Cricetulus griseus: one gene and its partners. The protein of the gene in region 1 interacts with the protein of each later gene in a pairwise test. Links are inferred from orthologs where the notes say so. Each region holds a gene or a part of one and is shown on either strand. Other genes may lie near its edges. The genes, in order: Pitx1, Zbtb32 and Spag8.

What was found.
Region 2: the proteins of Pitx1 (region 1) and Zbtb32 interact in a two-hybrid assay, tested with the Homo sapiens proteins (2 studies listed by BioGRID). The link is inferred for Cricetulus griseus from reciprocal best matches to the Homo sapiens genes PITX1 and ZBTB32.
Region 3: the proteins of Pitx1 (region 1) and Spag8 interact in binary tests that used the Homo sapiens proteins (3 or more experiments, as listed by UniProt). The link is inferred for Cricetulus griseus from reciprocal best matches to the Homo sapiens genes PITX1 and SPAG8.

What each region holds. Positions count from the first base shown.
Region 1 is NC_048596.1:274,818,416-274,822,158, reverse strand, and holds the start of Pitx1 (pituitary homeobox 1), read left to right. Parts: upstream 1-1,445; coding exon 1,446-1,614; intron 1,615-3,743. UniProt on the Homo sapiens protein: Sequence-specific transcription factor that binds gene promoters and activates their transcription. May play a role in the development of anterior structures, and in particular, the brain and facies and in specifying the identity or structure of hindlimb.
Region 2 is NC_048602.1:5,237,889-5,241,631, reverse strand, and holds the start of Zbtb32 (zinc finger and BTB domain-containing protein 32), read right to left. Parts: upstream 2,576-3,743; 5' UTR 2,357-2,575; intron 1,479-2,356; 5' UTR 1,380-1,478; coding exon 514-1,379; intron 317-513; coding exon 243-316; intron 1-242. UniProt on the Homo sapiens protein: DNA-binding protein that binds to the to a 5'-TGTACAGTGT-3' core sequence. May function as a transcriptional transactivator and transcriptional repressor. Probably exerts its repressor effect by preventing GATA3 from binding to DNA.
Region 3 is NC_048595.1:99,874,158-99,877,900, reverse strand, and holds the start of Spag8 (sperm-associated antigen 8), read right to left. Parts: upstream 2,335-3,743; 5' UTR 1,729-2,334; coding exon 1,700-1,728; intron 1,612-1,699; coding exon 1,110-1,611; intron 951-1,109; coding exon 537-950; intron 412-536; coding exon 237-411; intron 51-236; coding exon 5-50; intron 1-4. Other genes in the region: Hint2 (histidine triad nucleotide-binding protein 2, mitochondrial), read right to left, coding at 2,555-2,646, 2,760-2,832, 2,923-3,027, 3,124-3,264. UniProt on the Homo sapiens protein: Microtubule inner protein (MIP) part of the dynein-decorated doublet microtubules (DMTs) in cilia axoneme, which is required for motile cilia beating.

The DNA of each region.
Region 1 (3,743 bases):
GAGCCCAGAGGGTAAAGTCTTTGCTTGGGGAGGGGCGGCTCTAGAGCTACGATTTCCTAGCACTGTGTAGGGGACTCTAGAAACCAAAGGCTTCCTACACTCTCAGCCCAGGGTCGTGAGATGGCAGTCACCTGGTCTAGCCTGAAGCCCTGGGAAGTCAGAAAACAGGCCCCACGCCGCCCGCTCGCCTGGGCAAAGTTACCCTAGAGGAGGGCAGAGGCTGGCAAGGCCTACCCCTTGGCTGCCAAAAGCCTGATCATAGGAGGTGTAAAACAAAGGCGGAGGTGGAAAAGGTAATGGGCCTTGCTGGGCTCTTGGGGTCTCCAGCCCCACTCACCACGGCCTAGAGCCAACAGAAACGTTTCGTCTGATTAGAAGCCATCATTTCTATCCCAATCCCGGAAAATTGACTGCGGTGCAGACGAAGGCCTGAGAAGCAGCCTTAGGGGAGAGTGTCCAAGCTAATTAGAAGACTGCATCCGGGGGCCCATTAGAGCTCGCAGGCTGCTGTCACTCAACCGGCCCGAGTTCCTGGGAGAAGAGACTGGGGAAGGAGGGGCCGGCGGCCCCTCGAGGACACCGCTGGGAGCTGCGGGAGCCGGGAACCGGCCCTTGGCTCGGCCCCCCGCCTGGTGCTGGCTCGGAGGCGCGGGCTCAGAGCGATCCTGTTCGGCGGGCGAACCTTCACTCATCCTAGGTTGCTCTCGCCAGCGGCTGGCGACTTCGAAGCGGCCCAGACAGGAGTTGACTCTCAGCGAAACAAGTCATTTGGGGCCCCAAGGTGGGCACCAGCCGCGCGGGACTTGCAGGCCAGATGCGTTTCTTTTGTGCGGCCGAGGCAGAAGTCGGTGTGTCACCGGGGAAGGAGGGAGAGGCGCGGTGAGGCCGCGGGGGGGGGTGAGGCGGCGGGAAGGTGGCTGCGAGGGGGAGGGCGCGGCGAGGCCGGGAGGGAGAGGGAGAGAGGGAGGGAGGGCGGCGGAGAGGGCGCGGGCGGGCGGGCGGGCGGGCGGCGGCTCGGGGCTGGATTCCGCCGCGCTCGCTCGCTCGCCGCTCGCTCGCGCCCTCCTCCTTCTCCCCCAGCCCCCCCACCGAGGCCCACCCACCACCCCTGGCGCAGGGACTGCTGGAACCTGGCGGCGCGCGCTGTCGTTTTCAGACAGACTCAGCGGGCTCCGTCCCGAGCCTTAGAAACCGGCCTCGAATCCGGAGCGGGGCCCGGGCCGGCCGGGCGGCTGAGGCCGGAGCGCGTGGCGGAGCACGGAGCCCCACGCCCGGCCCCGCAGCCCCGGGCGGTCGATGGAGCGCGGGCGGCGTCGCTGCTGGCGCGGGCAGCCCTGGGGGGCAGCCGCTTAGGCGCCGCGCTCTTGTCCCCAACAGGTCGCAGCCGGGGCGGCCGGGCGCGCCCAGCCCCGGCCCCTGGAGCGCCCGCTGCGGTCCCCACCTCCATGGACGCCTTCAAGGGAGGCATGAGCCTGGAGAGGCTGCCGGAGGGGCTGCGGCCACCTCCACCGCCGCCGCACGACATGGGGCCCAGCTTTCACCTGGCCCGCGCCGCCGACCCCCGGGAGCCTCTGGAGAACTCGGCCAGCGAGTCGTCCGACACCGATCTGCCAGGTAAGCGCGGCTCCCCGCGGCGCGCACCCAGCGGCTTGGCGCTCGGCCGGGTCCCCCTGCGCCTCGGCATGGGCATGCCGGAGCTTTCTTTTGCCCGGTCTCGACCTGACGGTGAACGCGGAAATTTACACACGCTCTCGCACGCACACGCGAAGCCGCTTCCAAGCAGTCCCCACACGCCAAGCCCAGAGTGGGACTGACAGCCTCTGTGGAACAGGCGCAAATTGCACGCGCGAGGAAAAAACAAAACAAAACAAAAAGTTGAGTTTTCCCTAACTGATCGCTGAGGAGCCGCTGGGGCGCAGGGCAAACAGCAGATGGAGAATGGAGGGGAAAGCGAGACAAAGTGCCCAGAGAGACACAGGCGGGCGACACCTTGACAAACCGGGAGGTGCAGAAGGAGGAGAGGGTCCTAAAGGAGGGGTAGGCGCACAGAGCAGGTTAGAAGACAGGGGTCAGTCAAACGGAGCTCCGGGGGACAGCGAGAGCAAGCCGGCCAGGAGGCGCGGACTGACTCCGGAGGAACCCTGCTGGAGGGTCCCGGCCCACGTGGACGCCCGAGCTCAGAGCCACCAAGGGTCCAGCCAGAGCGGTTCTAGACTGACCCCACAAATTCCGCGCTGCCTTTTTCTTTTCTTTCCTTTCCCTTTTCCTTTCCCTTTTCCTTTCCCTTTCTTTCTCTTTCTCTCTTTCTCTCTTTCTCTCTCTCTCTTCTTCTTTCTTTCTTTCTTTCTTTCTTTCTTTCTTTCTTTCTTTCCTTCTTTCTTTCTTTCACCCAAGAGCTGAGCCTTCGACTGGGCGGCTTCGGCTGTGGCCGTTTCCAGGCCTGTCCTGTCTCAGAGTGGCTGCGAATCCGTTGGGTCCCAACCCCGGGTGGCCGCGGAGCACCCGGCTGCCCGCTGTCCCGGCCCTGGGTGCCTCATTGATTTAGTCTGTTTGTTTCTGTTTTGCATCTCTAAGTGACTTTCCCCAGCCGGTCTGTTTGCTTGGTTAGAAAACAAAGCTTTGCCTGTACTTTTGTTTTCAAAAGTTTTAAGCGTGGTGTTTGTTTAAAATTCAAAAAAGAACATAGTTATACATTGCTTTTTACATCAAATCAGCGGGGTGGTTAACAATTTTAATCGTATGCTTCCTTTGAGACAATTCATTAGGTGTATTTCTTTGGAATTTAAAATACATACATACCGCATGATTCTTGGAGCAAAATTTAAAAGTCAATTCAAAATGGCGCATTTCTCTGAGATTTTTTTTTTCAAAACCCTTTTGTAGCAGTTTTATTTTGTGAATTTAAATAGTATAGCTATAACGTATTTCTCTAGGGTTCGAAAATCTCTACCAGGGTGTTACTGTGAAGGGGTCTAAAACTTATTTGCAATGATGCATGGATTTTTTTTCCCAGAGAAATACCTATGTGACTGGTTTATACACATTTGGCCTTGTATTTAGTTTAGGGGTGTGTTTGCACGAATGGTTTTGACTTCTTGATTTACATTTGCTCTGGTTCTGTCTGCCTAGCTTTGAGGATTTGTGGACCTTTGTGTTTTTAGGTGGAGAGCTATGAGCTTCTCTAGGCTTCTGTTTTGTTTTTTTAATTCCTTTTCTTTATATTTAAATGTTATTGGCTGTGCGCATCTCCTGTAGCTTTAAAGAGACAGAGAGGCACGGTCACTTACACAGAACCTGTCTTATCTAGGCTGCAGTTGGTGGGTTTTCTAGACCTTGGGACCCGAGGCCGTTGTGGCTCTGACACAGCTCGGGCAACAACGTTTCAGCTGCTGCTGGGCTCTTAGCCCACAAATCTACTAGCTTAAGTTGGAAATTTCTGGTACTAGTTCAGAAAAACAGAGATGTTCCGGGAAGATTTACACCCGCAAGAGTCTCCAAACACAGTGTGCTTTTGCTGGTGACAGGAGCAGCCAGGCCGCAGCCAGCGCGGGCTTCAGGAAGCAGGCTCCGCCTAGCCGGGACCCCAGGTCCGGTTGGGGCGTCTGGGCTCTTCTCGGTGGCACACCAGACCTTGAGGTGCCTACTAAGGACCAGCACCCGGCCCGCTCTTTTCCAGTGGGGGACAGTTCCTAGGGTCCCTGGTCGGAGGGAGGGCAGCCACCACTCCCTCCGGCTTCGGTGGA
Region 2 (3,743 bases), on another chromosome or scaffold:
CCTGAATTGAGTCAATACATCCAGGCAAGAAATTGAGAGCTTTGGTGACCCTGAGGTAGCAGTTCTCTCGCCCTGCTTACTGTGTACCCTTACCCAGACTCTTTTGTCTCCCAAGGGCTGAGTTGTTCAGGGCCCTGGGGAAAGGATCCTGCAAGTAGGGTAAAGTAGGGGCCCTGCTAAGGCCTGACTCCTGGAGCCCAGCTGCTGTGCAGAAGCCCTGGATGGAACAATGAGGGGCTTACCTGGAGTGGAGCTAGAGGAGGCCAGCTGATTCTGACTCCAGAGACCTTTGGAGTGGCTCAAGGTCAGTGGGATCCTGGGTGGAGAAGAATTACAGCCTTGGCGAAGCCTGAGAACCTAACCAGCTCTGGCCTCTCTCAAGATCAGAATATTTTGTTGTCTCCTTAACTTAGCAAACGTATGGAGACGTGGTTCCCTCCCACCCATGACTGCTGCCTCTCCTGAGCTAAAGCCCCCCCAGCCTAGATACCTTCCACTAAGCCCTTCACTCACCTCTGGTCTTGAGGCCAGACCTGCCAGGCTGCAGTGACGGGGGTGCTAAGGGAGGAGGGAATGCCATATCTGGGCGGCCACAGGAAGATGCTCCACAGGCCAGGTTGGCCCTCTCCCAACCAAGGGGCCTCAGCCCACCAGGGCCTGGGAATGAGGCTGGTTAGGGGGGAACCTGGTAGGGAAAGGGGACCAGGGCACCCACGAAGACACTCCTCAGAGCCCTCAGGGCTCTCTATACCTTGTATGGCCTCTCCTTGCTTCCTTTCTGCTCCCCTGTGGCCCCCAGGGGCTGAGCTGAGGGCCTCCTCTGCTCTCATCTTCCTAGTTAGCCCTGCCCTCTCAGGGCTCTCTCCGGGTGCTCTGCGCTTGTGTAACGTCTCCTGTTCTTTCCTGTTACTCCTAAAATCCTTCTCTGGGCTCTGTTTCTCTCCAGGACCCCCCGGTCTTCTCTCAGAACTCCTCGTGAGTTCTTCTGACACCTGGTGCCTCTTCAGTCCTCCATGCAGCTCATCTTCGTTCTTGTCCCTTTGAGCTCGCTTGCATGCCTCTTCCAGGGCCTGCACCCCCAAGGCTCTGGCCGCCTCTTCAAGGTTCCCCAGCTCCCCAGGCTGTAGCTCCACGCTCTCTCCATACACAAAGGTTAGCAGCTGAGCAAAGGTAGAAGGGCTGATGCCTTCAACCAGAGCCCACCTGCCCCTGCATCCCAGCCTCGGGCTTGCACCTGCCAGCACCAGGCTGTGGGCAGGGAACTCCAGGCCGCCTACAGTGATCAGGGTATCACACAGTGCTGGCCGAAGCCTAGCCGCTAACTGCACCAACCGATCAGAGCCATAGGGGCTGATCAGCCTTGTGGGGGTCTGGGGCATTGCTCTCGACTAATCTACCAGTTTCAGAGGCTCTGACAGAAAAGCCACAATGGGGGGTCCATGGCAGAAAGGGGAGGGAGAAACCGCATATTCTCAGGCCTGTGGAGGGGAGGGGAGAAAGAGGAGTGACTCTCCAGTCTCAGACTGGAGCTGTCTGTCCTGAATGAGTCATATAAACCAAGTCAAAGGCAAGCTGGGGAAGCAGCGGGAAGAGAATCCATCCACATTGGGTCAGGTTTGGGGCCTAAGGAGCAAGAGCCAGGCAGTTAGCAGAGGTAGCAAGCAGTGGGGTCTAGGACCCGTACAGTTAGCAAACTCGGGTTTAAAGGTTGCTGCTTCCCCGGGCTCTTTTGCAGGGAAGACCCACTGAGCAGCTTGGGCTTTTCCTCACAAAACTTGGCATTTATGAATGAGTAAGATGCCACTTCATGAAAGACCTCAAAAAGCTTGTGGGTCTTCCCACAATGTGAGCCCAGACAGCTGGACAGGTTACGCAGGCAGCCAGGCAGGGAGAGCAGGTGCTAGGCATCACTCCGAGGCTGGAGCTTCTAGCACACAGAGAAGGAATGAGGAAGACTAGAGATTGCCATCCAGCGAGTTGAGAGAGCCACACCAGAGGTTTAGAGAAGGCTCTGGTGCCTGTGGAAGGAGAAAAAGGAAAGGGAAACTGGAGAACAAAATGAGGCTAACGAATGGTTTAGAAAGTGCCCAATAAGTCGAGGGTTGAATCACACACAAGAAAACCATCACAGGCCTCCAGGATACTGGAGACAGACAGATCAAGAAATAGCCCAAGTGTCTTAGCACCTAGCAGGCCTACCCCCGGTGCATGCAGGCCCTCCGTGAGCCGGGGCCCTGTGGGAGGGAGGGAGGGAGGGTTACTACCTGGACACCTTGGGGTGAAGGGTGCCAGCTGGCAGGGACTGCACAGAAATGGTTGGAATGGAGGGGGCTCAGCTCCGGGAGACAACACTCACCTCTGTAGCTGCCTCCTAGCACCGCAGCATGCTCGCATGCTCGCATGCTCGATACTGCTCTTGGGGCTCCTGCCCCCCACCCCAGCTAGCTCCACCCCTGTCCTCAGTCATCCCAAGTATCAGTCTGCCACAGTCCCCCCCAAAGGGGTGTGGCTTTATACCTTCTGTCTCTGCTTGAGACCTGCCAGAGGCTACCCATCTACTTTTAACAACCCAGGCTGCCTCCTCACCTAACTCTGTGATTTGTCAATTCCTTAGAGCCAAAGACATCAACTGTGGCCACAGGTACTTTGGAACAGTCAGAGGCTGAGCCTCATTTGTGCCATTTACTAGTTGAGTCACCTTGGGCAAGTCATCTGTCTGAGCCTCAGTCTCCTCATGCGTCAAATACCACTGGTGTCCTTTGGAGGAGGGGTGAAGACCAAGGGCCATGCATAGGGAAGTAGCCGCCAGTACAGCCTAGCATTCAGCTGCTATTCGGTCTGTCTTAGAGGTGACAGACGTGTGGAGTAGCTGCAGACCATTTCTGCCTGAAGCAGAATGTGAAGCACGGGGGAACTGGGGGCCATGCCTCCTTCCTCTCTCCCTGGCTGGGTACATTGAGCCCCTCTTATTCTGTGAGGTTGACCCTTGTCCTCTGGACCACAGCAAGGGCTGGGGTTGTGTGTGTGTGTGTGTGTGTGACTCAGATCCTCCAAGCAGACTCTGAGGGGGGCAACCCCAGGAAGCCTGTGGTGGTCTTCGAAGAGAAAAATCTCCTTTTCCTGGGCTGATGACAAATGACATTTCTCTGAAATCAAAACCAGGGGCTTCTTTCACTTTCTGCCCAAGGGGTCAAGATCCCTGGAGATTTCCGCCTCTTATCACGCTTTTAGCACCACCGTCTCTTCTCCTCTTCCTGTGTGGCTCACGATGTCCTTGAAATGTCTATCCTGCCTCAGCCAGTGCCACCACACCCATTTCTGACACTCTGTAATTTGAGGAAGGGACAAACCCTTTGAGACTCAGTTTCTTTTTTTTTTCCTTTTTTTCCATTCTATTAATCCGATTCCTAAGCTGATCTTTCCATTCCCTGAGAAGATATCTTGGGATATTTGTGGCATGTGTCTGGTATTCATATAGGTACAATAAACAGCTAAAAGAGAAACTAGGCAGACGTTGGTAGACGCTGTGGTGACAAGATTCAGTCTCGGTCCCCATAGGTTTCTCCCTGGATTCCGGCCCCTCCTAGCCCCAATGGGGTAACATTTGCTTTTCTCCCTTTGGCTCCAGGGCTCCAGGGTATTCAGACCAGACTTCTACTCTCTCCCTCCGGGCCTAGGATGCCTTCCCTCCCATTCTAGCTTGGATGCAGGCAGGTGTCAGCCCCTCCTAGGTCAGACAGGGT
Region 3 (3,743 bases), on another chromosome or scaffold:
TCACCGGATCTGGTGGTGCAGGAGCATCTCCAGCATAGCTTCACGCTTCCCTGTAGGAAAAAAAGGAATCTGGTCAAGAAGCAGCTTCAGCAACAAAGTTGAGAAGGGACATCTTGCCGTTTGCCCTTAGAGCCACCAAACCGTCCACAGTCCCACCAGAAAGTCCTGCTTTTTTTTTTTTTTTTTTTCCCTCTGCATACTGGGCTCTTTCTGATCCCATCTCTCATGCTTCACACCTCGAAGTGGCTGATAGGCTTTTGTTGGGGGTCCGTATGAATCTTTCTGGACGGTGCTAGACGACATGGGTGATTGAAGTTGCATGGTCAGCAGTCCCTGGTGTCCGTGTCGAAAGAAGTAACTCTCAGAACCATCTTGAAATATTGGGATTTGATCCAGGTGGTTGGTGGCTCTCTGTGGACCACAAGATCAGTGACTATGAACTCCCTTCTCATTCTGACCCCTATCACAAACTATTGGCTCCTCTAGGAAACTGGGGCCGGCCTTCAGGGAAAGGGGAGCAAGCTAAACCTTCATACCTCTTCCTCCCAGTTGTGAAGGAGACTCTGGCCACGAGGCAGTGTTTTACAGACAATCTCAGGTTTACTTTCGACCTCTGGGAGTTTCCATGACCCTCGTACTCCAGGTTCTCCGATTTGCAGGGGTGACCAGGGTTGTTGGTATGGCTCATAGTTGCGGTACTGATTCCATATTTCACCATTAGGGAACAGATCTCGTGGGATGTTTATGAACCCTTGAGTAACGGCGGAGCTGACCTTATGCCTAGGTTCAGGGATAGCAGGGCCAGGTGCAGAGGCAAGACCAGGCTCAGGCTCAGGCTCAGGCTCAGGCTCAGGGCCAGGGCCAGGGCCAGGGCCAGGGCCAGGGCCAGGGCCAGGGGGCATGGGCAGGGCCAAGGGCAAGGGCAGGGCCACGGCCAGGCCAGGGCCAGGGCTACGGCCAGGGCCAGGGCCATGGCCAGGGGCAGGGCCAGGGCCAGGGCCATGGCCAGGGCCAGGGCCACAGGGCCAGGGCCCAGGGCCAGGGCCAGGGCCAGGGCCAGGACAAGGCCAAGGGCCAGGGCCAGGGCCACGGCCAGGGGCAGGGCCAGGACAAGGGCCAGGGCCAGGGCCACGGCCAGGGGCAGGGCCAAGGCCAGGGGCAGGGCCAGGGCCAGGGCCAGGGCCAGGGGCAGGTCTATATGTAGAACTCGAACCCGAGCCAGAGCCAGGGCCTGAGCCTGAGCCCGAGCCTGAGGCCAAGGCAGGACCAGAGCTGTGACCAGAGCTACCGCAAGGATAAGAAGAGCCAGGCACAGGGGATGAACTGCGGTCTGTGCGGTCTGTGGCCCAGACATTCCGAGGTATGTAAGAAATATAGAGGGGTTGATAGCCAAAGCTCCCGTGGCCTGTCTGATAGGATTTAGGGCAGGGAGCCTCGAAAAGACTGTCATAAGAGTGCTCTGGTGGCACAGAACACGGCTTATGAGCCCCTGCATATAATCTATCTGGGGCAGTTACGCCCCTTAGGCCAGGCCTAGGACTGCCACTCGAAGAAAAAACGGGTTCTGAAGTGCTCTCTAGTCCTTCGGAGCTGGGCAGTACTTCTAAAGATCTGAAAGAAACACATACGTCAAGGATGTCAAAATCGCTGCGAAATTAGTCCGTTGACCTTCCTTGTTCCCCTGTCCAAGGCTCCTTACCGCGCTGGAGACTCCTCGGTAGACTCCATTTTCAGACTCCAGCTACCGGGTTGCCATGGAGACGGCAAATAAATCCAAGAGACTGCGCACAACTAGAGCTGGGCGGAGCGAGATGGAGGGTATGACAGGAGATAAACACTCCAGGGGCGAAGTCTTAGATTTGGTGATCTCCAAGTCTCAGCTCCATTCTGCCTCACCTGGACTTTCAGGGTTCCACTAGTCTGAACCCTAGGCTTCATGCCCAACTTGATTCGTTGTGACTAAGGGTGACTTATGGGGATGCATTGGAGACACGCACAGTTCATCAGTATGAACTCCTGTTCACTTGGTTCATTCCCTAAGTTGGAGAGCAGCCTTTTTTTTTTTTTTTTTTTTTTTTTTTCTTTTACAGTCTAAGGATAAAAAATACATGAAGTGGGGTCTAAGAATGCAGCCAGTGGTAGGAGTGGTTGTCCAGTGTGTCCAAGGTCCTGGGTTCCATCCTCAGCACACATAGATAAGAGGTAACAGCAAAAGGAAAGGGAATATGGTAGATAGATCTCTGTCCTGTCATCCAGACCAATTTCTACTAGTTCCCCCCTAGAGGTCTGACCTAGAATGGACCATTAGAAACTAGCAGATCTGCCCTATGCACTCCTTTAAGCCCCGACTAGGTCATATGATCTTTTATTCTGACCATGGTCAGAGAGATCATAGTCCCGAATCAATTTTCTTTCACCTTTGTAGTATAAATCTGTTACATATTTCAGACAGGAATGCAAAACTGAGGGGGAATAAGTTTATTAATGCCATAGGATTTCTTTTCCCTTTCTCCACCCACACATCCAGGTCTGTGGTCCCAGGTCACCTGGCAGGTTAGCCAGGCGGCCACTGCAGCTGTCGGCCTCCAAGTACGTGAATATGCAGGTGATACACGGACTGTGCGCCCATCTTCCCATCATTGACCACTGAAATGAGCTTGAGGTTAGGGATCAGTATACCGGGAGAGGTCAAAGACTAAAGATCACACTGAGAAACAGGGATTCATAGGTGAGCAGACCAAAGGACAAAAATCACTCACCAAGCCGATACCCATCTTTCAGACCCTCAGCCTTTGCTATCTTCTTGGCCACAAGGAGTAAGTGTCCTAGAAGCTACAGGGGGAGGAGAGGGACAGAGGTGGCTCCTTTCATAGCTTAATCCAGGGCTCCCCCCAGACAGGCCTCTGGCCCTGTTCTCCCCACCTGCTGGTCTTCTTCTTCAGCCTGGCTAATTCGAGGAATGGGCTTCTTAGGAATGACCAGAAAATGCACAGGAGCCTGAGGGGCCACATCACGGAACACTAGACACTGGGGGCAGTGACAGATGAGAGATCACTGTTACTTCATCAGACCCAAAGGCACCTATGAAATTCTCAGGAGGGTTAGACCCTATGGGGATTTCACCTGCTGGTCTTCATATAGAATGTCAGCTGGGAGGCTTCGGTCCAAAATCCGGGAGAAGATGGTTGGCGCTGCCCCTCCAGGAGCTGCTTTCTGGGCCTTGGCCACTTCACCCCCGTCAGTCACACCTGCATTTCCCCGGACCTTCCGGGTGAACCCAAGGGAGAGAGCTGGCAGTAATTTCCCATGTACTTATCTGGGACTAGAAGAAGCTGGGCTCTAAGAGTGTTTCTAACTTCATTCTTCTAAGAAGCTATTAATGGTTCCCCTTAGGGAAAGTCCCTGGATTTCAGTGCCTGAGTAGCAATGGGTGGGCCAGATGCTGGTGAGTGAGCTTGGTTATAGAACACACAGTAATTACTATTAAGGATTTAGGAGTGCAATTGGTTCCTGTAAATGTGCCTAAAGAAATCTAGCATTGTACAGGTAAAAGGACCCAGAAATCTGTAATGCCAGCAGCACCTGGGATGGGGAGGCAGGAGGATCAGGAACTTGCCATTCTTAGCTACATAGGAAACTCTAGGCTAGTGTGGGATACCTAAGACACTATCCCCAAAAGCAAACAAAATGACATTAAGGTCTCAGTTCCTATGTTACCATTAAACACATCAGATAAATCCCTG